Schizosaccharomyces pombe: one gene and its partners. The protein of the gene in region 4 binds, or shares a complex with, the protein of the main gene of each other region. Each region holds a gene or a part of one and is shown on either strand. Other genes may lie near its edges. The genes, in order: mrps16, mug178, rsm27 and SPOM_SPBC3H7.04.

What was found.
Region 1: SPOM_SPBC3H7.04 (region 4) and mrps16 share a complex: the UniProt entries of both Schizosaccharomyces pombe proteins name them as parts of the mitochondrial small ribosomal subunit.
Region 2: SPOM_SPBC3H7.04 (region 4) and mug178 share a complex: the UniProt entries of both Schizosaccharomyces pombe proteins name them as parts of the mitochondrial small ribosomal subunit.
Region 3: SPOM_SPBC3H7.04 (region 4) and rsm27 share a complex: the UniProt entries of both Schizosaccharomyces pombe proteins name them as parts of the mitochondrial small ribosomal subunit.

The regions. Positions count from the first base shown.
Region 1 is NC_003423.3:554,085-561,737, forward strand, and holds mrps16 (mitochondrial ribosomal protein subunit S16), read left to right. Parts: upstream 1-1,740; 5' UTR 1,741-1,808; coding exon 1,809-1,885; exon of another isoform or gene 1,886-2,314; coding exon 2,315-2,495; intron 2,496-2,761; coding exon 2,762-2,794; 3' UTR 2,795-3,164; downstream 3,165-7,653. Other genes in the region: sre2 (membrane-tethered transcription factor), read right to left, coding at 1-40; osh42 (oxysterol binding protein), read right to left, coding at 4,251-5,141, 5,189-5,390, 5,919-5,944, 6,067-6,079, 6,147-6,208; Ca(2+) transporter Rsn1, read right to left, coding at 7,420-7,653. UniProt on the Schizosaccharomyces pombe protein: Component of the mitochondrial ribosome (mitoribosome), a dedicated translation machinery responsible for the synthesis of mitochondrial genome-encoded proteins, including at least some of the essential transmembrane subunits of the mitochondrial respiratory chain.
Region 2 is NC_003423.3:3,444,029-3,451,734, forward strand, and holds mug178 (mitochondrial 37S ribosomal protein bS1m), read right to left. Parts: upstream 4,197-7,706; 5' UTR 3,863-4,196; coding exon 3,185-3,862; 3' UTR 2,488-3,184; downstream 1-2,487. Other genes in the region: AP-2 adaptor complex subunit Apl1, read right to left, coding at 47-1,433, 1,478-1,596, 1,641-1,886, 1,940-1,985, 2,023-2,231, 2,278-2,304; ade9 (trifunctional formate-tetrahydrofolate ligase/methenyltetrahydrofolate cyclohydrolase/methylenetetrahydrofolate dehydrogenase), read left to right, coding at 4,939-5,075, 5,343-7,706. UniProt on the Schizosaccharomyces pombe protein: Component of the mitochondrial ribosome (mitoribosome), a dedicated translation machinery responsible for the synthesis of mitochondrial genome-encoded proteins, including at least some of the essential transmembrane subunits of the mitochondrial respiratory chain.
Region 3 is NC_003423.3:3,066,461-3,075,262, forward strand, and holds rsm27 (mitochondrial 37S ribosomal protein mS33), read left to right. Parts: upstream 1-5,793; 5' UTR 5,794-5,933; coding exon 5,934-6,169; intron 6,170-6,234; coding exon 6,235-6,272; intron 6,273-6,325; coding exon 6,326-6,333; 3' UTR 6,334-6,527; downstream 6,528-8,802. Other genes in the region: snoRNP assembly factor Naf1, read right to left, coding at 1-1,037; SPOM_SPBC30D10.14 (dienelactone hydrolase family protein), read right to left, coding at 1,536-2,285; pyruvate dehydrogenase e1 component beta subunit Pdb1, read left to right, coding at 4,083-5,183; gpi1 (pig-Q), read right to left, coding at 6,528-8,489. UniProt on the Schizosaccharomyces pombe protein: Component of the mitochondrial ribosome (mitoribosome), a dedicated translation machinery responsible for the synthesis of mitochondrial genome-encoded proteins, including at least some of the essential transmembrane subunits of the mitochondrial respiratory chain.
Region 4 is NC_003423.3:1,871,165-1,878,481, forward strand, and holds SPOM_SPBC3H7.04 (mitochondrial 37S ribosomal protein mS42), read right to left. Parts: upstream 5,618-7,317; 5' UTR 5,396-5,617; coding exon 4,733-5,395; 3' UTR 4,490-4,732; downstream 1-4,489. Other genes in the region: phosphoserine phosphatase Ser2, read left to right, coding at 39-137; F-box protein Pof9, read left to right, coding at 683-1,047, 1,118-2,156; SPOM_SPBC3H7.05C (uncharacterized protein), read left to right, coding at 3,295-4,368. UniProt on the Schizosaccharomyces pombe protein: Component of the mitochondrial ribosome (mitoribosome), a dedicated translation machinery responsible for the synthesis of mitochondrial genome-encoded proteins, including at least some of the essential transmembrane subunits of the mitochondrial respiratory chain.

The DNA of each region.
Region 1 (7,653 bases), 1.3 Mb from region 4:
GATGAATATCCTTGAGCGACGAGTGTTGGGAAGGACACATAGCGAAGCGAATACCAAACAGTCGTTTTGGATATGAGTCAAGGAGAACGAAAGGTATTTATAGGTATTTAAAGAATGAAAAGTTTCCAAGACAAAAAGAGAAAGATTAAAAAAAGAAAAAAGAAAAAACACTCAGTAGTAATGGAGAGAATTCGAATTTCCGAACTTCTTGTTGATGAAACGCTAACCGCAAAAAAAAATTTAACAATACACCGTTTAATAAACGAGAAATTAGAAGAAAAGCGGGATTATTTCAAAAAAGGAGAGGAAGCGAAAACTAAAGGAAAGATAGAATGGGTGGAAATTGTAGTAGGAAAGCAAATAAAATTGGAACCCAAGAAAACGCCTATAGTAGTTGTCTTTGAGCGAAGGAAAGTATAAAACAACAAAAAATTAGGTTTTTCCTCTTTCAAGTTGAATTATTATGAAACCGGGTTGAACAGGAATCTTCAAGGTAAGCGACCCCAAGAACGCACTCGTTCACGAACTAACCAAGTAAACGAGACAAGATGAACAAGCTTGACAGGATAAACAATGAAAGAAGAAAAACTTATAAAAACTAAATATATAAAGGGGAATATAGTAAAAATTGGCCCCCAAGCTGCGTTATAAGGAATTGACAGCAATTATATGATGACGGAGAAGAAAGGAGTAGAAACTGACGCAAGGCAGGATGTAAACGTCAAATCTTCAGGTGTTCCGATATGTAATGAGTCTTAAAACTGCTACTAGCCTAAAACCTAGCACCGTTCATCCACAAAGCGATGTCCAAAGAAACGTTTCAATCCGATGTTCCTATTTTGCTTGAATCCGTCGACACAACACACTGACTTGACAGTAACCGGGAGTACGATGGCAAAAATCAATGTCAGTGGATCCAGCAATTCGTAACAACACCAAAAGAATGGGCAATTCAGAACAAGATCAAAATGCTAACTAAAAGAAGCCTAGGTGTTGGGAAATCTCAAAATACCAATTAACCGAACTCCCCAAACAACGATTCGTACGAAAGCAACAAAAACCCTCTAAGATTCAATCAATAGCTTTCTTGATCACTAGAAATTTTCAAGAACGGATGGAGTTAAATATTCAACAGGGATGCGCAATCTACGCGAGTCTTAAGTTATGTTTTGCTGTCGCTAAGTAGAATTTATGGGAGGGAGGAAAAAGCTAAAAGTAGACGAAGCCGCTTAAGCTAAGGAATGTCTATAGCGATTAACATTACGTTATAAGGATTGCGTGGTGAAAAGAAGGTTGGCAAACTACGCATTACATGAGTAACGTTCGTTTATGGTATCTCGTATACGCATTCTACAATCGCTTACAGTATTCCTGTTTAGCAAACTCGATACAAGCAAAGCATACCTTGAACAACGTGGAGAATGCTCGCTTTGTAGTATTCGTGTTACCGTAATTCGTGCTGTATCTCACTCCGGGGGTAGTGAATATGATCAATTCACACTGCTTATAAAGAGAAATAGAGTCAGCAGGAAGTAGAAAGATAAATGGAAGGAAAAGAACGTAATTTCTATCCCAGAAAACGTTTGAAATGATCTTTTGAAATTATGTTTTGTTTGTAAGTATGAACGAAAAGCAAGGCACAACGCTATTTTATAAACAACGGAGTGCACAATACGATACGTCCATCTGCTTTCCATCCTTGATACCTGCATTGTCTTCGTGTTTACTCAAGTTGCTCTTAACCATACTCCTACCACCAAGTGGGAAAGACGGGATTTGTAGGACTCGTTGAAAACCGGCTCTTCTCAATGGTAGTAAAAATTCGTTTGGCGCGTCATGGCGTCAGAAATAGACCTTTTTACCATATCGTAGTTGCGAATGCATGGTAAGTAGGATGAAAACATACCTAGACGGTTGTTTCGTGTTTTACAACACTTGTAGCGGTTCACGTAAAGGGGAAAGTTTTTGTACAGGATTTAGTAAGGGAGATGGCTTGATGTGGGTTATGAAAGAATGGAAGATAAAATGCTAAAAGACTGCTTTTTTTTGACGGTTCCTTTGGCTCTAAATTGCGATCTTTTTTAGAAGCTTTAGTTTTCAGGTATTCCTGGATGCTCTCATCTATTTAATCTAGTCTTTCTACATAGTATTCAAAATGCCAAGGACACCAACCACAATTTTTCTTATTAATTGACTATTTATTGTGGTTTGGCCCCCTTGGCCTCTATTAACTGTTTACATATCACCTGTACATCCTTTTTTTTCTCCTTCATCCATTCCTGTCTTTTGGTTCGACTTTGTTAACTCAATATAGGAAAGCACCTCAAGCCAAACCTATCGAAACCATCGGCACTTTTGATCCCATCCCTAAGAAGATTGATTCTCAGGACTCCATTCCTCGTATAAAAGATATCCAGCTCAACGTTGAACGTTTTAAATATTGGATAAGTGTAGGAGCACAACCATCCGACACCGTCCGCTCTTTAGCTGAAAAGGTATGCCCAAGCTCTCTTTATCTATTTTTATGACTAGTCCAAATTCGTTAAACTTTCTTTCAACTCTCTTTTTTGACTAAAATTTTCGACCCGCTTGCGATATACCGCTCGGGTGATTTTTCTCATGTTCCCTAACTGCCCGGCTTTCCGAAATGGAGTGTAGGATCTCATCCCTGTTTTCGTTACGATTTGGCTACTAATTTACTTGTTTTACTTCTTTCTATCAATCTATCAATTCTTACTAACGTTACTTTTTTCACTTTTAGTTCCAGTTGCTTCCTAAAAAACCCGTTTCTTGAAACTCACTATAATCGTTATTGCTCAAGTCATGACATTTCTTTTTTACGACCACTTCACAATGTCTAGATATCTTTAACACATTTTTTATTTTTTTTTACACTTTATCTCTGTGATCACGCTAATTACCTCTCTCAACTAAATTTCATAATTTTTGACCGATTTTACCCTTCCGTACTGTTTTTTTAAAACCACGTTTTTTGGCTGAGTGCGATATTTGTTTTCTTTACGATTCTTTTTATTACAATATCACCTTTTTTTTTTTAATTCCTTCTCCACATTATCGTTAGCGTAGTGATATCTTAATTTCTAAATTTTTTAAAGTGTCTATCTATCTGAGGTTATGCGCTAGTTGAAAGCGCTCATAATTTGATGCTATCCATTTGTAATTACTTGTTGCTTTGTACTTAAAATTGTTTGGTAATGAGAAATCTTGGTACCAATATTTTGCCTTTGTAATTTTTAGCTTTTGCGTTTATGGTTAAAATGGATCTTCACTTTATACTGAAACTTCATTTCGTTTACTGATGTTATACCCTTATTTTTTTAGAAACAAATTAACAGCTTCATTTCAAATATTTAGGTTAATATCGGTGTATCTATTATTGCTTAGATTTTTGGACTTTCCGTTCGGAAACGGCAATGCGCTTTGTTGCTTTCCTGATTTCCTCATTCGTTTAATTGGAACTGAACACGTTCATTAATAGCCAATTGCAATAGTTGTACAATTCTAACAAATCATTCCTGTACTTCCGTTGAATTTATAAAAGACTTGTCTCAAAGGATTTAAAATCGTTCAACAATGAATATTAACAACTTAATCGTTTGTAACAAAATATTATAAATGGTGAACTAGCCTTATAAGCTAATTTATTAACTGTACCAGAAGCAATTTACTTTGGTATTATTACCATATTTCATCAACCAGTCCAACTCTACACCACTACATTTATTCATGCACCGAACAGTGTAATTTTCAATTAATGCATTAAATACAAGCTAAACATCACAAACCAAATAGTATGTAAAAATAAACTTGAAAAAGAAAGCGAGAAATCACTTAATGAAAAAAAAAAATCTACTACCAAATCTCGAAATGAGTATAGATCAAATTGCAATGCTTTTTCCCTGACATGCATATGTGTAACCGACATATAAGTAATAAACTAGTATACCGCATAGATAATCTAAATGAAAAGTGCTGATTTCGTACTAAAAGCCAACCGTTAAAAGAACCTTTAGTAAAATCGTTGATCGTAAAACTTCAGTTGAACGTTTAAAGAGCGAAAGATACCTATATACTTTCAAGCATTATTTTAAGCCCTGATTGCACAACCAAGAGAGCTTTTGGGCCAATCCTCCCAAAAGTAGAAAAAAGGACACTGTTAAGGACGGAAAACTATAGCAGCCCGAAAAGCACACATAAATTTAAGAAACAAAAATATAAGTAACACAAATTTATTCCATCCGTTTGACAGGTTGTTCTCCTGCTGGCAATGAAGGATGAGTGTCACCAATGTAAATCCAGAAGCCTGGTTCAATAACTTCTAAAACAGCTTGGGCTAAAGCATTCCTGGCATCGCTATCATGCTCTTCCCATTTGAAGTATCTTCTGGCCCAAACTGCTCCCTCTGCTTCTTCTTTCTTACGCATATCACGTTGTGATTGTTCGATTGTAGACTTTTTCGAGCTTACAATATCATAATTACCACTGGCTAAGGCAGCGGACACTTCTTTCCAAACATTTCGAGACTCCCAGTCTCCCATTTCTGATTCAGGCTTGACGGTAATAGGAGTAGCTTCAAGACTAGGGATGCTTAAGAAAAAAATGGTACTTTTCAGACTAGGAATAGTCAATTTAGATTCGCCAGTCCATACACCTTCAACAATATAATCAGGATCTTCATTTTTCTCAAAGATAGTAGCCTTGAAAGAATTCTTGGTACCTCTGAAGTAACCTCGGCCGGAATAATCGATCTTTGTAATATAATTTGTGTTGCTAACAATATAAGTCGAACCGTACAATTCAATATAAGGTGCCATAAACCACAGTCCTTCAAGGGAGATATTGGGCAGAGTTATATAATATGTCTCATTATACTTTTCAAGATGAACACGAAGCTGGCCGAGTTGGTTGACGTATACAGTTCGTCCTGAAAATCCACTTCTGTATTTATTATGCGTATCAACGGTGATACCGGCTTCCTTACAAACCACATGAGCAGCTGATTCAGGTCCGTGATGGGATACTTGCTCGGCAGTAAGCTCCACTTTACCCTTGCTAGAATCCCATGACCCATAAAAAAGCTCTCCCAAAATAGGGTTCAACGGTTTCTTTTCAGTACCATACTGAAATTTTGGTTAACATTACATGATAAAATTTTATAAAGACGTACGTTCTTATTCCGGGATGCGTATTCACGACTAAGACCAGTTATGTACCACTTGAGAACAGCCAGCATACGTTCTTTAGGAGTGGGAAAATCGACAATTGTTACGAATAGCTCAGGAAACTCAAACCAATAAGACATGTATTCGAGCAAAGATGTCCCTGATAAAATGAAAGAAGGAGCTGAAAGTGTGGACAAGTCACCAGTACTGTGAAGTAAAGTTAGTATTCAAATACAGATTAAAAAGAGCAATCGACATGAGAAAAAGACAATTCCTCTCTGAAAAACAAAAAGAAAAAAACTAGAAAGTTATGAGATGGAAAATTAAGAAATGGCGCTGGAAAGTCCTCTTTAATGTTAGACTCGAAAGGACAATAGCACATATCAATATGAAAGCTAAAGGCATGACAAGCAAAGAACATGAGTAAAAAACAATTTAACAACAGCAAAAATAAGCACTTGTCCATATTTTGACGCGTTATTTCATTATCTAAACCAGCCAGCCATTTGAAAGCCGGGCAAATTGCTGGAAATAAGACAATTATAAGCAATTTTACGCTTAAAAAAAGTTCCTTTTATATTTCAAATTTTTACAAAAATCACATAGATTTGAATGAAACTAAAAATCGAATGAACATTTCCCGTTGGAAAAGAATGCATCGTGTTCAAATTTACCTTTTTTTTTTCTCAAGATACCATATTTCCAATTTTGTTTCTTTTAACTGAATATACTTACAATGTAGCCAAGTTCTTGATGAACCCCTTTTTTGAAGAAAAAGTAAGTAAAATGTTACAATGTCAAAGAAAAAAGTAAGATTCCTTGCATAAGGCTGAAAGCAGATTGATTATGCCTTCAATCTTATAGGACTCAGTACAATTCATACCATCCAAGTGCTCCTATCATAAGGAAAAAACATGTTAGTAAAATGTAAACATTTGATTAAAGAACATATGTGGTACTTACTTAGAAATGGGTTCATTACCAGATTGCACAGTCTCTTCCATTTGTTCTGATGTTTCCGACATTGTCGATCGTGTAATTAAATGCTATCGTGTTTGGTAAAAGAATAAAATCGACAGACCATGGATTGGGCGATGTTGGTTCGACTGCTCTTGCTTAACGCAGTCCTACTATTCTCCTACGTCAAAATAGTGTCATTTTACAAAGGGTACACCATTCTGCACTGTAATTATACTGCAGTAATGACTTTATTATTTAAATTATTTAACGTGGTTTATCGTGGTATATAAAAGCTGCAAAATGGTCAGTAGAAGGCACGAAGGATCGTAAATAAATGACTATTTATGAGCAAGCAAAATACATACGAAGCTTTTCTTATTTGATTAGCATTCTTTAATACATTATGTATAATATTTTTTACATAGAAAGGTTGTATGCCTTGCATATTTATACCTAGCAGATTCGAAACTGCCAGCTGGTAGACGCATGTTTTTACGACTTTTTAACATAATCGATGTTTGTTGAAACTAATTGTTTATTTAATTATTTAAACAGTTAAAGTACAAAAAAACTTCAAGCGCGCCTCCATTTCTAACAAACTACTACTCATTATTGTCAAAGCAATCTATTCAAATGTACCAAACTATCTGTTATAATTACAAGGTTATGGTGGGAAAAGTAATCTTGTTGGGAAGAATTGATTTTAACATAAAGTTAGCTATTGCCGAACGATAAATCACATGTTCGTTTCAACAAAAATGACATTTGTTGCAAAGGTATAAAAAGTTGTGCGAAATAAGAAAAGACAAAAAACATGATCTTATGACAAGAAATGTTAAAAAAAAAAAAAAAAAAAAAAAAAATTGGGATGGGATGAAAAGAAAGGTATGCAGACATAAACAACAATAAGCAAAGGGAAAATATAAGGAGAACGAAAGAAAACAACGCAAAAGAGATAACCAAACAGATGGCTATCAAATTAATGAATGAATCAAACGCAAAATAATCAAGTAAACACCACAACAAAATCTAGGTGATTCATCTTCATTTAAAAAGGTCGGAGAAGAGACCTAAAGAATACAAGCACACTTAAATTCTTCTCAAGAGCTCACAAATAAGAAACGGAGCATAGAAAACAAATGTTAAGCAAAACAAAATCGGTTGAGAATTAAGGAAATAAAAAGTTTTCAAATATGTATCTTTGCCAAAGTAAATTTGAACAGTTATAAAGTTTTTGTACAAAAGCTCGAATTCCAAGGAAAAGTTTAAGTTACCATTAAAAAATGTGGTAATATTTATCATAATGTTCGGAGACATTGATTGGTGTAATTTCCGTACTTTGGGATTCAAGAGTTTCTGGTATACTAATTTGAGAATCTTGGGTAATAGATTCTGTTAAAGGCAGCTCCTCCTCATTCAATCTAGCTCTTAAAGAAACACCACGGCTACGAGTATAAGATCGGGACAAATTTTTCTTGAGTTGCTGAACTTGTTGCTGATCATGCACTTC
Region 2 (7,706 bases), 1.6 Mb from region 4:
AACGTTCATCATCGACAAAATGCTATGATAAACTAAAAAATATAGTTTAATCCATTAAATGTGTTTCAGGAGTCATTGGCATACCTAGGTTTTCTTGATCTGCACTATCAAACTTGCCCGAGAATGTATTTGAATTGGATTCATCTGAAAATGGAGAAGGATTCCAAGAATTACGATCGTATTGTTCCATTACCCTTCTAGTTTGTGATTTCTGATGAAAATGATTGTATTTCTTATGATTAGACTCTCGTGAATCCGTATTACTAGGATTAGAGTCACGAGTACGCAATCGTAACACTGGACTAGGCTCACAATATGCAACTTGAGCCCCTTTTACGAAACGATTAGGGGGCTTATGATATATAGATGAAAGTGTGGAAATATTCAGCATTAGTTGCTCCGTGGTATCGGGATCGTACATTCCAGTTCCAACATTCACTGGAGGCATGTTAGCAAGTATGACTTTTTTTGCTAATTCAGGATTGGCTGACAACATTCGGGAGTATATTATACCTCTGTCGCGCAAATCGGGGTCATTAACTTCATCAGTGCACCACTGGAGGACATTGGTAACCATATCGGCTGCAGCAGTTGGTTTTTTTAAGAATACTTTAATCACCGCAGTAAGCAAAGTGAGTTGAATCTCCAAGGGTTCATCAAAAAAACCCTTTAGATAATCATTCAATAGCGTTATAGAATCTTCAATTTCTTCGGCATATTGGCCAAGTATCCAAATTACCGCAGACTTTGCATCAGGTTCATCAAGGGAATCCAAATTTTCGTAAAGAATCGGAACCAATGATTTGTAGCTTCCTGGGTATTTTCTAAGAATATCTCTAATGACAATAACTGCTTCTTGAATCACATAGGTGACTTTCGTATTCATCAATTCAATTAAGCTATCTATGCAGTCATTTTTTCGTTCCTCAATTTTTATGGCAAGGTAACCAATACATTTCACTGATTTTCGAACAAGTTCGACGTCAATCTCCGAGGCGTACTCGACGAACTCAGGAAGAATTTGATCTAAGTTGTGAATATCAGCAATTTTGGTTAGGATATCCAATTTTTCAAGCTTAACGTAAATTGGGTCATCAAAGTTACAGTAAAAAAAATGTATATCATTTGCAAACATTTCTGGGCATTGTTCCAATATTATCTGAATGTTCCTCAGAATTACATATTGTGTTGCAGATGATTTTCTAGCTAGCAATGTGACAAGAGGAGGTTGGGTCTTCATAAAGTATTCTTTAACTCGATTGTCATCTTTCATGTAATTAGTTAAATAAAGAATAACCTTTACAGCCCCCATGCACACAGCTGCATTGCCGTGTTGTAACCAAGGACTAATACGTTCAGCGAAGCTTTCGGCCTCGCCAGGCTTTTGGGGAACATAAAAAATTAAAGCATCCAAAATGGCAACTTGCAGCCACCTGAATTATTAGTATAAATTTATACAGCGAGGTTAAAAACATACTCCGAACAATCAGTGAGGCTCTTAACAAGTTTATTAGATATTTCCCTACTGAATGTGAGTTTAAATCCAGTAGATGAATTTACGATATTCATTAAAGCGGCTAAAGAGTTGGCAACAACCTGATATAAAAAAATTAGTAAGGTAATAGAATCGTATAACTTACAACCGAAGATTCATCACTAAGCATTTCTTTCAAATGATCGATTAATCCTGATGACTCCACCATTTTTTTATCATAGGAGTACAATTTTGCAATCCCAATGGCTGCAGTTTTTCGAACGTAAGGATCTGTATCATCTAATAACCTTACAATTGGATCCATAGCAGCAACCCAAAAGTTTTTGATGTTTACCGATGTCAATGTTCTTAAAGCTAAGGACCTAATCATAGGGTTGGAAGAATAAATGTCCTAAAAGAGGTTAACATCCATCATCATAAGAGATGTACAAATTAGAAAATTACATTCAAAATAAGTTTAACAGCTCTCTTCGCCTCTGTGGGTTTCACGCTGTCAATTAGTAAAAAATAAAGAAACTTTTACAAACCTCGCGTAAATTTTCAAGTACAAATAGCATAGTTTTTTTAATTCTAGATTATTAGATTCCATAGAAGATATCACCGATGGAAACAGTGAACTCATATCATATCCATAAGATATGCCTGCAATTGCTTTCTTTAAAGCAGAAATTCGTTTGTTTGCAGATTTGTCCTTATTATCTGAGCTGAAGACTGCTAGCAAATCAGCAGCGGTAGACTTTTGTTTAAGTTAGTAATTCCGAATTTTATGAAAGTTAAATTACCGAAAAATGACTTGAACTACTCGACATTATAACAACATGCTATGTACGTGTTAACATTCAAAATGTATTGTGGTATAATACTGAGTGTTATTGTACAAAGCAAAATAACGAGTTACAGTAAAATGCTTGAATAAAAGATTGTACGAAGAAAAGAAAAATAATGATTGCTAATAAAACACGATTTTATCTCTTAGTAGGTACTAGAGTAACTGGGTAATTAAGAAGCAAATTCAAAAGACGTTTACAAAGTTTATCGGATTTACAATTTAATACACTGTCGGGAAGCGTTGATTGATATAAGCTTATTAATTTATTTATGCAAATTTTTTAGCACGTGCGTACATAATATAAACCAAACAGAGTTCAATATAAACGGACACCCTTAGGAACATCGTAGGTTTCCAGTAATGCGATACGGCCATAACGAAAATTACAAGAACCAAAATAAGTTAAAATCACTCAAAAAACAAACAATAAAAATTCAATCTTTTTTAAACAAGAATGGTGGGAATAATAAACAAGCTTGTTGACAATATTATTTCCTAGAAAAAGTAATAGGTGTATAGAATCTCTCCATGAACAAAAAGAGGGAGAAAAAAGCGGTTCACTACAATGCAAAATAACGGTTAAAAATATTTAATGATCTTAAAGGCATATCATGATAGCTCAAGGAGAAAGTAGTCCGTGCAATTAATTTCCCTAACTCAAAAACTCAGGATCGTAAGCAGATGAAATAAATGTTAAATATGGATGGATCTTCATAATAGACGATTATCAACAGACGAAAACAATATTAAGAAACAATTCCTTGAAAGAAAAGCTATTGTTTTAAGAAAACCGAAGTGACTCACGGGAGAAATAATCGTTTTACTGTTTTTTATTGTCAATGTCAACTTGTATTATGGTATTAAATACTCCTATTTTCTCGTGTGATATTTGGAATGGTTTTACCGGTTTCATCGACATTAAGAGATCGAATTACGTATCGATTTTTTGTTGAAGTAATTCCTTTGAGAGAAGTAGCAGCTATAACTCCTGAGACACCAAATAAACATTCTTTAGAGTCGGGTGCAAATTTTCCGTAAGTAAATGGTAACGGGACTTTTTTAGTTTGAATAAAGGATACTAAACTTAGGCGCTTCTTTTCAGAATCAGAAAAAGAATCTAAAAGTTTCAATTTGGCGTATAATATACCTGGTGGAAGTGTAGGTCTGGATTTAGGATTTGAGCTTGAGAAAGTGTTGTATTTCTGTAAAAGGTAAGGGGAAATTTGTTCATAATCATTAAGCGGAACAGGGAGCTTAAGGTCGTAAATTCGTTTCAAGGTGCGTACGAATCTGTCACTGCTGATGAAGGCACACTGATGCTCGAATGTGTCAAACTTTTGTATGGAAATATGACGGTTTTTTAGGATCGGTAACTTCCTCTTAGCTCCCCAATCGCCGCGAAATCTTTGGCATTTCTTCGCAGTAATTGCTTGTAGGATGGGAATCTTCGTATCATAGACATCAGGGGAGTTCCTCGGCAAGTCTGGTCTTGCTAAACTAACTGCTCGGGAGCATCTCAACAAATCAGGAAACTTCATTATAATTTTGATTAAAGATATACTTTGTCAGAAACATCCAAATTCTGCCCAATGTAAACCACCACCGAAAAGTAACTGCTGAACGAAAGTGGGTACTTCTAATGAGTCAATATTGTCAATATCAATAGCAATCACTCAGAAAACACACGAATACGACTGTAATTTTTTGATGCCAGCTATTTATATACTTTTGTCGTGCAATCCAGCTTGCGAAGTGTTTTACATCAAGTGTGCACACTCATGAAAAGTATATACGAGATGAAATTCTCTCTATTAATATACAAAATTATGGCCAATGTTACAATAGCTAGTTTGAAGTTATAGAATCGCTTTCGTTAGGAGGTCATGTCGGCATGTTGTGTAGTAAACGTTCACTCTCCTCAAGTAGCAATGTTACTTGACTCGCACACTGTTGGATAGAGAAACAGAGTGCTTTAATTGTTTACACTCGAGTAAACCATGACTGAGTACGATTTTAGCTTGTACTTATTAAATTTAACGGGAATTTTTTTTATAATTATAAATTAGTAATACTAAAGGTATGGCTATCATAAGAAAAGTGAAACTTATAAAGGTTAACTTTCGGTAAATTTGTGTGTTCTTCCTTGTTCATTAATGAGTTTATCTCTACTAAACTAAACTATATGATTTTTCTAGTCTAAGTTTATTTACTGATAATTAATGAGTTGCTTGTCAGATCGTTTGTTGTTTATATTTGTCTATTATATTTGATCTTGAGATTCTGTATATCATGTAACAGATTTTTAAACTTTTTCTTTGACTATTTGTGTGCTTATTAGCTATCTCAAAGGCTTAGGTATATTATTACTTGTTCAATACATTATGATTTGCAATAATGCAATTGTTCCAGTCACTATTCGAGCTTGAAGAATAAATTATACGAGAATGAATACATTGCTTTAATACAATCGCTATTAAAATGTTTCGGTTCATATTCTACTGTAAGCGTATTATTCAACATAGATTACCTGACTACCAATAAAAATTTTGCTTTAACACACCACCAGAGGACAGGCAGGTTCCCTTACTACCCTACCACTTCTGGGTGTCTTTCTATGAACGTAATGGTTTCGTTTAATCAATTACGAAACTATTTTCTAGAAAGCAACAGCTTACGGCCATCGAAATGGCTTTTTCAGTCGTATGGTACTTCAAGTTCTGCGAATATCCTAAATGGAAAATTATTGGCAAGGTAAGATAAAGTTTATATTCTAAATTTTCTCTATGCAGATGAGCGTGCATTTCTGTGTTTGTCTTTGACGATAAAATTTTGGTGGTTTGAAAATTGATTTGCGTACATTGCTTAATTCCGTATATTCTTCAATTTTTTTGTCGATACTTAGAAGTTAAAAAATTGTATTGGGCATTGCAGCACGTTTGAGGTTTCATCAGATTTTTTTGCTCTTAAAACTTTATATTTTTATTTCTCTTTGAGGTTACTAATGTAGCGACTAATTAGAAAATTACAACGTTCTGTTGCTGAAGAAGTGCAGGCCTTGAAAGCTAAGGATCGAAACTTTAAGCCGGCGCTTGCCATTGTACAGGTTGGAAAACGTGAGGATTCTAACGTGTACGTTCGAATGAAAGAAAAGGCGGCACGATTAGTTGGTATTGATTTTAAATACTGCCCGTTTCCTGAAACAATCCAAATGCCTGCCTTGCTTCATGAATTAAAAAAATTGAATGACGATCATACGGTTCACGGTGTCCTTGTCCAACTTCCTCTTCCCAAGCATCTCAATGAGCGTACAGTTACTGAATCTATCACTCCGCCGAAAGACGTTGATGGATTTGGTGCATTTAACATTGGTTTATTGGCAAAGAATGATGCTACCCCCATTCATTATCCCTGTACCCCGAAAGGTATTATGGAGTTATTAAAAGATAACAAGATTTCAGTCGCTGGATTGAACGCTGTAGTTCTGGGAAGAAGTGACATTGTCGGAAATCCAATTAGCTACTTGTTGAGAAAGGACAATGCTACAGTAACTGTCTGTCATTCTAAAACTAAAGATTTAATTCAGCACATTTCTAATGCTGATTTGGTTATAGCAGCATTAGGCAAACCCGAATTTGTTCGTGGTGAATGGTTGAAACCAGGATCTGTTGTGGTAGATGTTGGCATAAACGCTGTTCAAAGAAATGGAAAACGCGTTTTGGTTGGCGATGTGCATTTCGAATCTGCATCCAAAGTTGCTAGCAGCATTACTCCTGTCCCTGGAGGCGTCGGACCGATGACTGTTGCTATGCTAATGGAAAATATTGTAAACGCTGCCAAGATAGCTAGAACAGAAAACATTTATCGAAAAATTGACTTAAATCCTTTAGAGTTAAAGAAGCCTGTTCCTTCTGATATCGAAATTGCTAATTCCCAAGAACCTAAATTAATTAGCAATCTTGCTAAGGAGATGGGTATCTATGACACAGAGTTAGAAAATTATGGGAACTATAAGGCAAAAGTAAATCTTGCTGTTTATGAACGTTTAAAGCACCGAAAAGATGGGAACTATGTTGTTGTAAGTGGTATTACTCCTACACCTTTTGGCGAAGGTAAAAGTACAGTTGTTGCTGGTTTGGTTCAAGCTATGGGCCATTTGGGTAAGCTTGGAATTGCTTGTGTCCGTCAGCCGTCCCAAGGGCCGACATTTGGTGTTAAAGGAGGCGCCGCTGGTGGAGGCTACGCACAATTTATTCCTATGGATGACTTTAACCTTCATATGACTGGAGATATACACGCTGTTACCGCAGCAAATAATCTTTTAGTCGCGGCTCTTGAAACTAGGATGTTTCATGAAAACACACAATCTGATGCTGCCCTTATAAAACGTTTGATCCCTGTTAAAAACGGGCGAAGAGTCATTCCACGAGGATTGATCGGTAGGTGGAATCGTATTTGCGCATCTCATAACATGGATCCAGAAGATGTTAATAACGCATCACCGGAATTACTGAAAGAGTTTGTGCGGCTAAACGTAGATCCTGACACCATCGAATGCAACAGAGTATTGGACGTCAATGATCGATTCCTCCGTTCTATTGAGGTTGGAAAAGCATCAACTGAAAAGGGACATGTCCGTAAAACTTCTTTCGATATCTCTGTGGCCAGTGAATGCATGTCAATTCTGGCTCTTTCATGTGATTTAAACGACATGCATTCTCGTTTATCCCGTATGGTTATAGCCAACGACAAATACGGAAATGCTATTACTGCTGGCGACCTTGGAGTTTCTGGAGCATTGACCGTTTTGCTTAAAGACGCTATCAAACCTAACTTGATGCAAACTTTGGAAGGAACACCAGCGTTTGTTCACGCAGGACCTTTTGCAAACATTAGCATTGGCGCGTCTTCTATTATCGCTGATAAAATTGCTTTAAAATTGGCTGGTACAGAAAGCTTTGACAGACCCGAAGATGCCGGCTATGTCGTTACCGAAGCAGGATTTGCGTCTGACATGGGAATGGAAAAATTCTTTAACATCAAATGTAGATACTCAAAACTTGTACCTAACACCGTTGTTTTGGTTACCACTGTTAAAGCGCTTAAGTTACATGGAGGCGGTCCCAAGTTAAAACCTGGTGCCCCAATTCCTGAGGAATATCTTGTTGAAAATCTAGACCTTGTAAAGAATGGATGTTCCAACATGGTAAAACACATTCAAAATTGTCATAAATTCAATATTCCTGTTGTTGTCGCCATCAACAGTTATAAGACTGATAGTTCTAAGGAGCATGAAATAATACGCGAGGCAGCGCTACAAGCTGGAGCTGTGGATGCTGTACCTTCGGATCATTGGGCCCAAGGCGGCAAAGGAGCTATTGAATT
Region 3 (8,802 bases), 1.2 Mb from region 4:
TTTATATACTTAAGCGGTTCAGGATCTATTTTATTAGCCATTGTAGGCACATAAAAAACCGGTCTTCCCATGCAAGCGTTTATCGCGGAGCATTCTTCTTCAGTAGAAAAACGGACAATATAATATGGACTAGATACGGGACCAAATGTCTCATGAATATAGCCTATAATACTTCTGTCTTCAAAACATAAAACCGTTTTTTCATCAAAAACAATCTTTTCATCGTCGATATCACTTTTCACCACTACCTCTCGCTTCAAGACTTGTATAATTTTTCCCAATGGTTCTATTAACGAATTAGGCTGAAGTACTATTTCTGGCTTCTCGTAAATTTGTTCCGGTAACTCATTCACCGTTTTGGGAGGAGTACTAGGAGCCATCGATTCCGCATCAGACTTTTCCTCTGCTTTCTCTTCTTCTACATCAGTTTCGGAAAAAGAAGTATTACTCTCTGAATCTGAAGATGAGTCTGAACTTAAATCAGCAGACGATTTACCAATAGAAGAGTTACTATGCGTAACCTCCGCAATTTCATCAGCGATTTTTACATTGGATTTCTCGGATGAATTAGTAGCTGGAATGCCAACTTCTTCGTTGCTAATGAACTCCTCTTTTGGCATGAGCAAACCTGATGATGGAACAACACAATCCTTTGGGTTAGCCAATGCAACATCCAATAAGTCGATTTTGTTCTCATCTTGATAGTTTTCCTTGTGTTGGTTTATATCTTCTGTTGAAGAAAATAAAATTTCATTATCTTTTTGCTTAATTTCGCCAGAATTCGCTGAAGAAATATTCTGAAAGTTAACTATGTTCGGTAGATTATTTTCAGTATTAGTATTCAAGTTGTTTTTATCGATTGGGTCGCCCTGTGGGGTATTGATATTATCGATAGATAAATTTGAAGGAATTTGATCTTCTTTTACAAAATTTGATGAACTTGCGTTTGTAGACAGTTGCTTCGATTTTTCAACTTTCGATTCATCATCATAAATCAACGAAAGCCCTGGTATTTTACAAGGGAGATGCGGATACATAAAAACGCCTTTCGAAAAAGTTTTCGGTGCTTTCAATTACGGGATTTGGCAGAATATACTGAGACTAAGTTAGCAGGACGTAAATAATAAAATTTGATTTATATACAATAAAAACATTATATTCATAAATAGAAATAAAACTAAATATTAGAATTAAAACTAATACAAAATGAATTCATCTCTATGCAACATATCATAGGCAGTGAAGCGTAGAGTTACTCGCAAAAAAATAACAGTGGCTAAAATTTTTAACTGATTTTAAAAGCTATTTTGTTCACGATCCTAAAAAACATATAAATTTGTAGGAAACAGTACTAAGGCATCTAGGTTGAGCAAACCTCAAAATATGTTACAGCCTAAGTGAATATTGGAAGCTTCACCTGTTTGTATTGTAAAGCGTACAGCTACTGTATCGAATAGTTTAGGTCATTAGTTAATAATTGGATTAAAAAAAATCAATAGCGATAACAAATCATGACTATCTAACAAACATCAAACTCACATTAAAGATTGGAAAAATGAAGAAACCTTTTGGTAGCCTTCATCAAAGCGCTTCCTTTGTTCGGGGTTGGAAAGGTCTGCGCGAGCAGCCATCCAACCATGGAACATGTCGCTGAATGTTTCGAAGGAAGACTTGGCATAAGCGGGGTTTGTCTTGAACGCTTCTTCCCATTCTTTGATGATTTTAGCATCTTCGTCTTTAGAGCAAAGAAACAATACAGGACAATGAACATTGGCTGCATCAGCGCTATCAGGGAAGGAAGGGTGACAGCTAGCAATTCCAACGAAATCAATTGTAGCGGGATAAGTGACCAAAACTTTAGCACCCCAACAAAATCCATAAGTGCCAATAGTAACATTTGGTCCATGGTTAGCGCGCACAGCTTCTACAACTTTAGCAAGTTTCGGCCAGTGCAAATTAGGAGAAATTCTAGTAGAAAAAAAATCATTGCATAACTTTTGGTCCTCTGGCGTCTTAGGGGGTAAAGCAGTAACTGGCAACGGCTTTCCCTCTAAGAAATCGGGTAAGTAGACGGTAAAGCCATCATCTGCCAATTTATCAGCACCCTCTTTAATTTGATCAGAGAGACCAAATATATCCATGAAACCAATCAAAACACGGGTATTGGAAGTAGATCCAACAACATAGGTGGTCAATCCTCCAAAGTTTTCAATTTCTTTACCCTTAAAGGTATAGGACTTGTTAGAAGCTGCGGCACCACGACTTGTTGGACAGCAAGAGGCCATTTTCTTAAATTAATCAATGGTTCGTACAAAAAGTAACTGTACAAGTTTATTAAAAAACCACAATAAAATGGTAAGTTGGGTGAAATTTCGTCAGTACTGTTGGCTGTATATATATATCATATCATACACATTATGTCAAAAATCGGCATTGCATATATTATAACGATATTCTCTATATTTCCATGGAAAATAATATTATGTATCAAATAAACACTGACTATAATTAATAAAATATACATCCTTTTTAATTGCAAAATGTATCGCGAGTATTAAAATTGAAAGCGGATTATTTTCTTTATTAATGCTTACACATAAACACTGTGTATCCATGATATCTTACGGCCGCATGCTTTAGTCCTTCATAAGTGTTATCCAAAAAAAAAAGAAAAAAAAATACAGCGTATGACTATTCATAACAAGTATACAAAGTAAACTTTTTTTCCTCTATCATCAAACATATATTCTGAGAAGTTTGTGAGTCGGTTTGTTTAGATGAGAAATAATAAACTTGCAGTTATGACACAATACCTACCAAAGATGCTATACACGGGACATACATTTATTAGTTGGGATTGCAATCATTAATTATCGTTTAAAAGTCTACAACAGTTGGTTTGCATCTATTGTAAAAAGAGGATTGTAGCATGCCAAATTATGAATTTACGGTCTCATTGAACGTCAAAGGCGGAAAAAACCAGGAAAACTTTAAGTAGTTAAGCTATGTACTTTTGTCGAAAAGTTTATGTCTGAACATTTATCTCTAAAAACGCCTTACCTTTGTTAAAGTCTTTAGAAAATGTGAAAAACTGCAAATTAAATATTGGTCTGTAGCTTATAAAACTATCTTCAATCTTTAATAATGCAAGAAATAATTTTTTGACTTCGCGTACCAAAGAAACCCTTATAACGCGTGTACTAAATATAACTTTTAAATAATACTGTCAATAAAAAGTCCGAAGTTAAAAAAGGAACTTTCTTTCATCAATTTCCAACTATAACTATTCAATCTGTTGTTGGTTTAATCATCAGAAACCATACATTGGTTCAAGGCTTGTTTATACTCAATGCTGTTGACCATTAAATAAAAAAAATTCCATGTCAAGCTAACGAAATTGTTTACTTTTATTTTCGCTAATGAATTATGTAGTTTATCATAATACAAAGCAGCTTTTATCTCTACATGGCTAGTACAAATCATATGGTGATGAATTTACTGTTATGAAAATAAAGTAATGCTTTAAGTATATTTGAGGGCTTCAAAATTCATAGTCACTGATGCACCGGAATCAATAATCCGTGCAATTATGCATCAATTTGAACCACAACTTTAGGCTGTTTTAACTTCTCGTTCATCACCTTTTTGTCGGTGTTTATGCTCTGCTTTTCGGATATCGCCCTTAGGAGTTCAAACGATCTATTGCGGCAATCAATTTTGAGCACCGTATCTAGTGATAACAAATTATCTTTATCGGTTAAGCACGTTATTGCAGCTGCTTCAGTATGTACACATTTCACTATTTAGCAAAAATAAGATGAAACAAATGATACTACTAAGAGGTTATAATCATATCAGACTGTTTAACCATTCTTTTGTCATTTGCAATAAACACAAAATTTATAAAAGTGGTAGTATTCTTGTTAATCATCTACGTACTGTATTTAATTTGTTGTACCATAAGCCAACTCGAAATATTTTACCATCACACTGTTCTACTTTGCCCACTACACATATACAACAACACAGCGGGATAGCCCTAATTTTTAACGAAGTTAAAAAGAAGTTTGAGGGAATTTAAAATGATTCGTCTTCAAAAGTTTGGTGAAATTGTTGGGACCAGTCGTTCTTGGAAACTTCTTAGTTCAACCATCGCAAAGCGCTATTCTTCTTCTTCCAATGGAGTGAAGGAAATGACCGTTCGTGATGCTTTGAACAGTGCAATGGAAGAAGAAATGAAACGTGACGATCGTGTCTTCTTGATTGGCGAAGAGGTTGCGCAATACAATGGTGCTTATAAGATATCTAGAGGTTTATTAGACAAGTTTGGTCCTAAACGTGTTATCGACACTCCCATTACTGAAATGGGTTTTACTGGTTTGGCAACAGGTGCTGCTTTTGCTGGTTTACGTCCTATTTGTGAGTTTATGACTTTCAATTTTTCCATGCAGGCTATCGATCATATCGTTAACTCGGCCGCCAGAACCCTGTACATGTCTGGTGGTATTCAGGCTTGTCCTATTGTCTTCCGTGGACCTAATGGGCCTGCCGCTGCAGTTGCTGCTCAGCATTCTCAACACTTTGCTCCATGGTATGGTAGTATCCCTGGTCTTAAAGTAGTTTCTCCTTACTCAGCAGAAGATGCTCGTGGTTTGTTGAAGGCTGCTATTCGTGATCCTAATCCCGTTGTTGTACTTGAAAACGAAATTCTTTATGGTAAAACCTTTCCAATTTCGAAAGAAGCGTTGAGCGAGGACTTTGTGCTTCCCTTTGGCCTTGCTAAGGTGGAGCGCCCCGGTAAAGATATCACCATCGTTGGTGAGTCTATTTCTGTTGTTACTGCTTTAGAAGCAGCTGACAAGCTCAAGGCTGACTATGGTGTTGAAGCTGAAGTTATAAACTTGCGTAGTATTCGTCCTTTAGACATCAATACTATCGCGGCCAGTGTTAAGAAGACAAATCGTATTGTGACTGTTGACCAGGCATATAGTCAACATGGTATTGGTAGTGAAATTGCTGCTCAAATTATGGAGTCTGACGCATTTGATTATCTTGATGCTCCTGTTGAACGTGTAAGTATGGCAGATGTTCCCATGCCTTATAGTCATCCTGTTGAGGCTGCTTCTGTCCCAAATGCCGATGTTGTTGTTGCTGCTGCTAAAAAATGCTTGTATATTAAATAACAAGCTCAATTGTTGAGTCATCTGTTTAATAAAACCCGCTCTTTTCCCTTTTCCGAATAGTTGATATCTACGTATTTCGCTTTCTATTATTTTTACATTATCTACAAAGTGTAAATATCTAAGATGCTTGTCTTTAATGACTCAGATTATTGTGTGTGGGTCTTAGATGGTTTTAATTTCTTTGCAATTATTTGCGAAGATATGATTTTTCCAACCATCTTTCCAATTGGTTATCCGGGTTGGTATATCTACCTTTCAGGATAGTTTTGCTTCGTTTATCCTTAATATATGTTATATTGTATATATTACTAAATTCGTGTAAGTTTTTTAACGTAATCTGAAAGCCAGTGAACTTCAATTATATTATATTACAGCTAATGGAAATAATACGCTATATGAATATGTTCAACTATTTGGTGTCTATTATACTCTACTTAACTACTCGTAACCTCTTAAAGCGTAGAATATTAAGTACTTGATCCCACTAAACCTATTTACAGGTCTATCTTTAGTCAATGCACCAAAATGTTTCCATGTGGGGTTGATGAACTACTTATCCCACATCATCCGCTGTAGTATATCTAAGTAGACTTGCGCTAATAATACTTACAATAACAGAATTTCAGAATCCTTGCAGATGAAATCATAGTAGTGTCTTTAGCCTTATTATTGTTGTTTTTATTTCGTTTTGCCTTTAACTTTAAGCAACCACATTCCCTAGGAGCCTTCCCTAATTTTTGGTATAAAATCATGGCTAGCAAAGCAATCCTGGAAGAATTAAATATTCTCTCATCAAAAATATTTGGCACTCAGTATAAATCAAACAACTCGAGAACGGGTCGCAAATTTGTAGTACAAGAGCTGAAGGGAGCAAAACTGAAGAGCTACTATCCCGCAACTATCAATTATCGTCAATTAAGGACCCTTTTAAATGATAAAACATTTCCCGATAGTGATGAGGAATTGCGAATGGAAATCAGGAAAGGGTATGTTAGTTGTTAATTGAGATTGAATGTTTCTTTCACAAGAAATTAGCTAATTAAAATACTAGGAGAATACGCCAAGGAAAAGGAGCCTCCAAGTCAAAAAGTATGTAAAGCTTACTATAAAACCGAATTAGGAACCTTCTAACTCCTGTTTAGAAAAATAAATAATTGAAAATTGTGCCTTTCTAATACTTTGCGGTTACATTTCGCACATTTTCTTTCCAATTATTATCAAATGGGTAACGGCTAAACAGCTTTGAACGAAACTGATAAACTAAGTTTAATTATAAAAATTTTGTTGTTTCATAAACAAAAAATATTATATATCAACTGTGTGCAACAATACTTAACATTTTGATCAGTCGTAAGGAAATTTTTTCTGATGAAAAAGAAGATCTCGCAGTTTTCTAATAGATATTCTTTTGGTCGGAAGCATAGCGTACTGGATATTGTAGAGTTGCTCAGCAGGTATCGCTGGAACTGGGCAACCTACGAGCAAACTAATCAAAGTAGTTTTTGAAAGGTAATGCGAAATTAACCTACGCGCCAGTTTCCGATAATGCTCAAACATGGATCCAAGAGACATCGGTTTGGAGTTGCAATTGAGATATAGCGTTGCGAAGCCGTCTTGTTTTAATGGTTCAAAGCTGACTATCTCAAAATTCAGCCCACTTGGTATTCTATAAGGATCTTTAATTCGTAACATTGTAACAAATAATGGGAAGTGATTCAGGAAGGCTAACATAGTTTCACAGATTGCCAAGCATGTCATCACGGATACTCGTGTTAATGCAAATGCTGCATAGAAAACATATATTGTAGGTAAGAAGAATATTAGTACCGTAAAAAGGATTGTTCCTAAAAGTAGTTGGTCTAAATCATACTCATATGAGTCGATTCTATTTCGTAAAACGTTTCTTTTTTTTCCTCGAAAAAGCTGCAGCAAACTATAAATTACACGTAGCTGCCAATTATACAAACGTGATGAAGCCAAATAAAGCAAATGTATATGAATAGTCATAACACTTAAAAAATCAGAAATTAAAGCGATCATTAAACTAGCACCCCCAAACCCAGAAATAGCGACAACTTGAACCAAAAATGGAGTCCAAGGCAAACAATGCAAAAGAAAATTACTCCATACGTCAATAACCCATACAGAAAGCTTCATAATAAACTTGCAAATGTCGTTGTTTAGTTTTAATCCAGCAGGAGTATCCACGAGCCATATAACCATAGAACGAACGTTTTTTATCGCATACTCGAATGTGATATTTTCTATTAATTTTACCACCAGATGAAGATTCTCTAAAATAAATGAACTCATTGTAATCCCAAAGATCATGTCATTCGCAACCAACCAAAGGTTGTTATAGAATCTAATATATTCTTTGTAATCCTCTATCGCAACGCGCTTGCTTTTCCGAAAAACCCATAATTTCATATATTGTACAGGCCAAAAACACGCTTGTTGCAACCTCAAATCTACTTGACGAGCAGAAACGAAAATATCCATCATATTATAAGATAAAGGAATCGGTCGGTAATTAATCGCCAAGAGTATAACCTCATTAATTATCCTCAATAATATGATAAAGTAAGCAAACAGCGAATTAAAAAAATAAAAGGTTGATGACGAGACACGATCAAAAAGTCGAAAAACATATGAATTTTTTTTGTTATTATTTTCATGTGTTAACATGCGAACCTCGAAGGATTGATTAAGAAGCTCAATTAAGCCTGAGCGTAGACTCCTTTTCCAGCTATTTTCTTTGCGTCGGGGAAAGTGCAATTTCAATTTTTTTAACAGTATTTGCTGGTGTTGCATGCTTTCGTATTCAGGGTTTGACTTGTTAATAAAACTATCTTTTAACAATAAAAGCGATAGAGGTTCAAGGGAAAGAAATTGCATTTTTCTTGGCTGCGGAGGATGATAATAAATTATATGCAGATTTATTTTTAAAGGCGTACTAGCCGAATCGAAAACTCGGGGATGAGAAAGCTCAGTCGATTGCTGCACTTTGATCCAACAATCAATTTCATATTTGTCACCCGGCAAAATATCGGCAGAGCAATTAAACGTGCCTAATATACACAGAGATTTAATATCTACTGATTGATCTTGATTTTTGCAATAATCAACTAAAAAATTAGCGAAGGATTGATAACTAGTAATTGTTGTCACAACGATAAGATCGTTGGTAGAGTACTTCCAACCAACTAAGTAACCAGAATCGGTATAAGAGATCGTACTTTTGGGCCAATATATCCGTTTCACTTCAATTGGAGCCGAAGCTATATTCATGGTTGTGGTAGACATTTGAAATATAATATTGAATGCTCTGAAGTCAATTCCGAAGTGTTTAATAAAAAAGACAAACAAGTAATAACAGACTTTAGAAGCATACAAAAAACTTTTGTTAAGAAAAATATAACAGGAGATGATACTGCTCTCTCCGGTGTTTAGAACTCAAGTTGTAAAATCAAAAACTTCCTCGACGTAAAAGCTGTTCCCTTGCAGAAATGCCACCGCTAACTGACGTTGAGTTACGAGCTTCGGATTCAGCGATTCGTTCTAAAAGAATGAAAATAAAAAATCCTAAAACGGTAAACAGTAGTACGTATGAAGGAAC
Region 4 (7,317 bases):
TTAATGATCTTACTAACTCGATTTTTTTTTTTAATTAGGCTGATTCGAAAATCAATCTTCCATCTTTGCAAAACGCTCTTTACCTCTTGGGTATTGATGAGCAACAACAAAAAAAGCTATTGGAAAACAAAAATTAATTTAGAATTTCCAAGAATTTTTCAATCGCAAGGCGCTGTCAAGAACTCTGAGCTACTGTGGCTTGGTTTTTATAAAGCAATATTTTACTTGTGCGCGTGGTCTTTTTTTCTGTAGTAGGAGCCGTCTTTTATATACCCTACTTCTTTATTTTTGATACTCTTATTTTTCTTTTTCCTTAATTTACAATTTTGGTATGATCAATGCTTCATTGGAAAGGGTGTGCAATGAATGCTTAAAAAAAAAGGGGCAGTTCAGAAGCTTTCTTCTTTAAAACAGACAAGAATTACTCAATTGGTTTTTATAAAGCCGATCATTTACTCTTAAATCTGCTTCGTTATGCTGATAGACTTTGAAATTGATTCGTGCAATGACTACACCTTCGTTTCATAGACCTTTCTTTATTATCATTTATTAATTGTAAATAATACAATTGTATCTAGTTATTAAGAGTTGCAGAAAACATGTGCTTTTGACGTATTTCAACACCGTTTCCCTTGTATATATTCAGAGGTATTCATATACTACTACCCATGCGAGATTCATTATGGCTAAATCACCATTCCTGGAGCTTTCTTACGATATATTGCTAGAAATTAGTACATATCTTGATTATAAAGATATAGTTCATTTGTCAGAAACATGCAAGTCACTTTCGTATGTTTTTGACGACAAAACAATTTGGCATCGATTTTGTGCACGGGTCCAAGGTCTCACCAATGTAGTCCCAGTTGTTGATGATAATTACAAAAGACCCTATGCTGTATGGAAAGACCGAGGATACGCTTACTCATGGGGGCAACAGATAAGAAACTATTTGGGCCGCGTCGTCAATACAAATCAGTATCCTCGAGATCGTCCTGGTGCATTGACTGGGAAGGACGTTCGTTCTACTATTCAGGTTCAAGTTGGGTAAGCGCATAGATACAGGAATTTATTTGACTGCACTACAATGACTAACTATTCCCTATGCGGAATTTAGAGGTTATGGGATGTATTTATTAAATGAAAACGGAAATTTATATGTTACGGGGGTACCAAACAATGTTGGGCCCGAATTGATGAGAGATTTAGAGCCAATTGTGAAAATCCATGCTGGTCGAGAGTTTTGTCTTGCACTCGGTGAGACGGGACACTTGTATCAAGTATCTCTAAAAACACGAATTTGCTTGACAGATGAACAAAATATGCTATCAGCCTATCGCGGAAGAATTGCTAATTTTAAATCAGGTTGGGACTCGCATTCGGCGTATGTGCCGGGCATTGGCTTTCTTGTCTGGCACACTGGACGAGAAAGTGAAGCGCAACTTTTCCAGCCAGAGGCATCGATGAAGGAATTCGTGCTGAACGATTATGTTCACTGCGCAGGATTCCTAGTGTATACTGTCGCATCACCTCAGAAAAAAGGCGCCGTGTTTCGTTTAGACCTGGACCAAGCTACACAACACACGCTAGGAAGAGAATTGAAGAGGTTCGCTTCGCACGACCCCCATCAAGGTTGGCATTTAGCAGGCAGCTTTGAAACTTTCACATGTTTATCGGACGATGGCAATACTGTTTACATGGGTCATGCTAATACCAAGCAGGTCGATGATGACCCGGTTATCCACGACTTTCTCCAGAACCGAGGAATTAAGCAATTGGCGCATGGCGATCATCATCATCTTTACTTAACAAGCGATCATTCCATATGGTCGTGGGGTGTTGAATTACGTTATTGTGGGTGTTTAGGTTTGGGTTCTCTTCATTTGCAAGAACAGACATCTGATCCCAGCATTGTTTCTGATCCACGCACCGCACGCAACATCGTTTCCATTCCACATCAAATTCACTTTTCAGGAACTTGCTATTCAGTTGCAGCCGGCGGATGGCAAAGTGCTGCTCTCGCCATTTCGGAATCTGTTTTACCCGAAGTCAATGTGCCTCCAATTACAACTTTTTCTATCATCCGACCATCCAGAGTTCCAGCGTTGCGCTTTTTAGCTGCCCCTGCGACTCGGACTTTGGAAAGGGACGGCTAGGTGAAATAGTGATCAACTTTGCTTGGTAAGCTAATTTCCGCGTGCGCACTAGAGAAGGATTTTATTTTGTCCGCTAAGTAAGTGAAATAAATAAATATCTCGGCCACCTCGGACTTCCGAATTTATCTCTATTTTTACTAATTCCTCTAGGTAAGCCAATTATAAAAAAAAGCAGCACAAGGAAAACACAACGGTGATTAAATAAGTGAGAAAATTTTTTTTCCTTCTTCCTGTATCGCAATTACATAAAGTACACACATTGACCAATTTATATTCCTGACCCCTGTGAATTAAGTTACTGTGCTACTACGACGAGTTTTTACCAAACATTATTATTTTTTTTAATTGATTTGGACTGTAAGGAAGGTTACCGATTTTCATATTAAATCCTCGGTGGTCAAAATTTGTTGGGCTCTTGCTCTCTATTTGTCGTTTGCGTTGGTGGTTTGTAATATTCCTAACCACCCCATTTTTTTCTGGCGACCCTAACTTGGGGGTTTTGTTTACAGATCCAGGTGTCGAGAAAACCGGTATTTTCAGGCAGAAATCGATCTTAAGAGACGATTTTTTCTTGTTGGGTTGACTACCTTGTACCTGAAATCTGTTGTGCGAAAATTTCCAGATTTAAAAAATCGTGGATTGATTGAAGGGCAATTGAAGATTACGGGATGCTATTTTCCTTTTCATGCAATTAGCAAGTATTACTGATTTATTTGTAATTCCACAGTGTCTGATTTATTTTTGTTAACAACTATATTATAACACTTTTTTTTCTTTGCCTTCATCATCATCATCATCATCATCGTTGTTCTTTGTTTCTTTCAATAAGCATTTTGTCATTTTCTTTTATCATTATTGTCTTTTTTTCATATTTTTGTCGGTTGACTGATTGATTGTAAATAAAGTCTCATAGTTATATAGAGTGTGGTTTGCCTTTTCTTATTGTTTCGCCTTGTCTTGTCTTGTCTCGTCTAGTGTTGCTTGTATTGTCTTACCCTATCTGTTCTTTTTCTTCACTTTTGTTTTAACTGCGAATTTTCTTTCTTACTTTTTTGCTTTTCTTCCTTTCCTATTCCTCCACTATAAAGTTTTCGGCGTTTGATCATCTACGAACACGATCTAAAATTCAATTACTTTCATGTATCCATTTTCTTTCGATCCTTCTTCCAAACTTCCAGTCACAGGTATTTATAACATCCTTCTGTTCAATCTATTCCCTTTAGCTACATACCTTGTCGAAACCTTTTGTTTTTTTCGCCGGTGGAAAATCGCCTGCACTTTGTTATGTTCCATCACGGTTATACTGGCGTATCGCATGTGTGCTGTCTATCACCATGTTGGTTATAAGGATGTCTCTACATTTGGTTTGGCATATGGCTTTCTCATTATGATGTCGCTTCGAACTTGCTTTTTGAGTTGGCGAGATATGGTACCTTCTCGCAACGATCCTGTACAAATCAGCGCTGTTAAGCGTCGTCGACCATTCATTCGTAACGCTAGGTGGAACTTTGTTGATTATGCACTTTCTTTGCGCAAGTATGGTTGGACTGACGACGTGGTTCCCCCTTACTGTAGAAAAGTGCTGACTTACAAATCTTTGGGGATACGTACTGCTGTCTATGTGGGTGCATTTTGTTTTGTCAATTGTTTTAAAACTCGTTTATCCAATTGGATGTTGCTTCCTATATCAGCCAACCCATGGTATATTCAAGTCGCATTTTGCGTAACCTCTGGATTCTTTTCATATTTGTTTATTAATGCCTTGTACTATTTATTCGCCATTATTTTTGTTCCTCTGGGAATTTGGGATATTGCAGAGTATCCATTAATGATGGGAAATGTATCTAAAACCACCTCGGTTAATGATTTTTGGTCCAGAGATTGGCATGTTTGTACCAAGCCCTATTTCAGAGTGATTGCTTGGGATCCAACTATTGCCCTCACTGGAAGTAAGTTTCTGGCAAGTTGTTCATGTTTTTTCCTTTCAGCATTATTCCATGACTTTGCCTATTGGTCAATTTCTGGACGCTGTTCACCTGCTTTCTTTTTTCAGCTTTTAATTCAACCTTTCCTTATTAATCTTGAAAAAAGGATTCCCCTCTTGCGCAAATATCATTATTGGGTCCTAATAATCGAAATGCTTATTAATGGAACATATGGTATGGGAGTCGTATTATTAAAATTTAAGTGGAAAACATGCTCGCAAATTTAATTTACTGTTTAATGTCTATGTTTGACCTTCCGAAACCTCTAAAGTATCAGATAATTGCTATGTGTCCTAGTTTATACATTTAATGGATGGTTCAACTAAATTAACTTTTCCGTAGATATTGTTGGAATGTTAAATAATATATAGAGGGAAACATTACATTTAGCATTCTAATTCTCATTCTTTGCCAACAGTAATTACAAAACTTTATTTATTTATAAGATTTGTTAATAGTATGGGTTTTTTCAATCAGATAAAGTGAACCCATAGTAAGCCACCATGATCACTTGCATACAAAACGTAGCCGGGAGAGGAGGGGAGAGAAGTAGAAAAAGATTGAAAATTGTGCAGGATTCAGTCGGGTTAGCTAAAGGGATTCAATGCGCGTAGCTTGGAATCTATTGTTGACGACCGTCCAATTGATCATATCCCACCATTTTGTAATGTACATTTTTTTACCATTTAAACCATAGTCGTCAAGATACGCATATTGCCAAAGGTTAACGCATAAAAGCGGTACAATTGCATTGGTACGAAACTTAGGAAATCCTGTTCCCCAAAGAAAGGCATTTGACGCATTGTACGTGCATAATAAGGAAAATAAAGATTTTTCTGGACTATATACCAACCACAGCCAACCATCACCAAAAACTGAATTGCCAACGTCAACCATTTGAGACTTCAACTCACCAAATGAACCGAAGGATGCATCAATTCCAGGCTTTAGGTTGATAGCTCCTAAATCTGCATCTGCAGAGGGCCGTTCTGGAGAAATAAGGCCGGAAAAGAAAAAATCATGATTTACCAATTGGCTAGAGTAATTGAATAAATTAGCGCGGGCTGGGTCACTAGCGCTTTGAACCATTAAATCTGAAGGCACACGATACGGAGTTTGATGAATTTTACATTCTTTTTGTACTAGGCCTCGTAAGTGGTTGTCATAAGCAAAGATATTCCTGACCGCATCTTTTGACAAAAAATTCTTGTAGCCCACGTCCAACGCTCTGGCGAAGCGCTGTTGAAAACTCATTTGTTAAATTGAGGTAATAGTTAGGGAATGGGTATAAAAAACTGCAATGGAAATCAAGTATGCGGGTTTAAATTTTGTAATCCTAAGAAATTGGCAAAGACGACCAAACTGTATAATTAATTCATTAAGTATTAACAAAATATGAAAATCAAATAGTGTAGATGCTACGTTTTTGAATGTTTGAAATATTTCAACTTCAATATTGGTAAAGGCGTTCCACTCAGACCGCTCAGAGAGAGGTAAGCAGCCCTACTGGCGCAAGTAAAATATCGGTATGAAAGTTCTGCATTCCTTGTTGCGATATATACCATTATACCACTATATAAATTTTTGAAGTTGAATTAACAGAAATCTAAAACTTCGTTGAAACTTAACTAGTATTACAATGAATTTGTTAACAAGTTTCCCAAAAAAAATTGTGAAAGTAATCTTAAAGCGTTCAACGGGTTTAAACGGTGGATTATAAAAGCCTTTATTCCCAATATGACCATGATTCAATTTAAAAGTAAGCTGTATGACTCATTTTCAATCAAATTTACTTCGTCTTTTATAAGAAGATTCATTGACTTGAGAAGAAGAAAAATAACTTTAATATTCGAATGATCACAACTTTTATGTGAAAGAACTGTAAATATGTTAAACGTTTATAAATGACAATTGTGGCCGTTTGGTCTAGTGGTATGATACCATCTTAGGGTGATGGTGGTCGTGGGTTCGATTCCCACAACAGCCCGATTTTTTTTTTTGTCTCAGTAATTCAAGAGACCCTCAAATTTTTTATGTAACCGTTTAGATTGCAGCCTAATTGTTCAAAAGCTTACTCAAATTTGATCTAAACATTCGTGATTAATCGTTTATGAAACCATACGCTAACGATTAATTAGGAATTGATACAGGTTCATAACACCGTTCATGGATTGGAAACATCTACCATTTATTTTTAGTTTTAGTTAACTAAAATTGTAAGTGCACTGCATTTTTTTCGAAGCTTCATTTCTTTCATCGTTCAAAAAGCTGCTTTGGCAATAAAAAAAAGTTTAAGGTTATTTTTAGCCGAGGCTACTGGGATTGTTTCATATGCTTACAAGCGAAATAGGGAATAACTAGCTGCATACAAATGTTTTTGAAGAATACCTACCATTGGGGCTGAGCTAGAAGAAATATGGGATTTGAGACAAAAAGATTACTACTATATTAAGGAAGAACTGCTGAAACTTAGACGGAATAACCCAAGTATGCATACATGCTGCCAAGCCCGGTCTTGTTGCAATTTCAGGCTCTACACAACAGTAACAAGTGATTTATGGATTACGGATACTTTTTTTAAATTTAATATTATCTGGTTATAGTTAAAATAGAAGATTGTTTCACTATCCACTAGTTTTGGATTACATGCCATTAGTGATCAGGGCTATAAGCGAATAATTTTCAACGTTTCATCTGACCCTGGTACAATTTTTTCAGTAAGTCACATATTTATTTATTTTTATCCAAAATAAGAGCTAGATGCGTATTTTTTACAGGCCATGCCACAGTCTTTTTTAATTGCTAATGTATTAGACTGTGTCAATGGTACGAGACATTACTAACGAGTAAAGGTAATTTCTTCTATAGGATAGATTAAATATACCACCTAGAATTAGCGATGATTTTTACACAAACTCAGCATGTCTGTTTTGTAATTACCAATCCGTTTAATTTATTTGATGTGCGCTCAAAAGATATATAACAATAATCAAGGACAAGAAGCATGAATAATTGATGACATACTAACATACATTTTAAATAAATTTTTGTAATACAACTAACCGTAATACATCGGTTTTAGTAACCATTTTTGCAATTGAGAGTATATGTTCCTTCAGTTTAGCTAAGGTCTATTTATAACATTTCTTCTCAATGATGTCGTAAGTATTAATTGG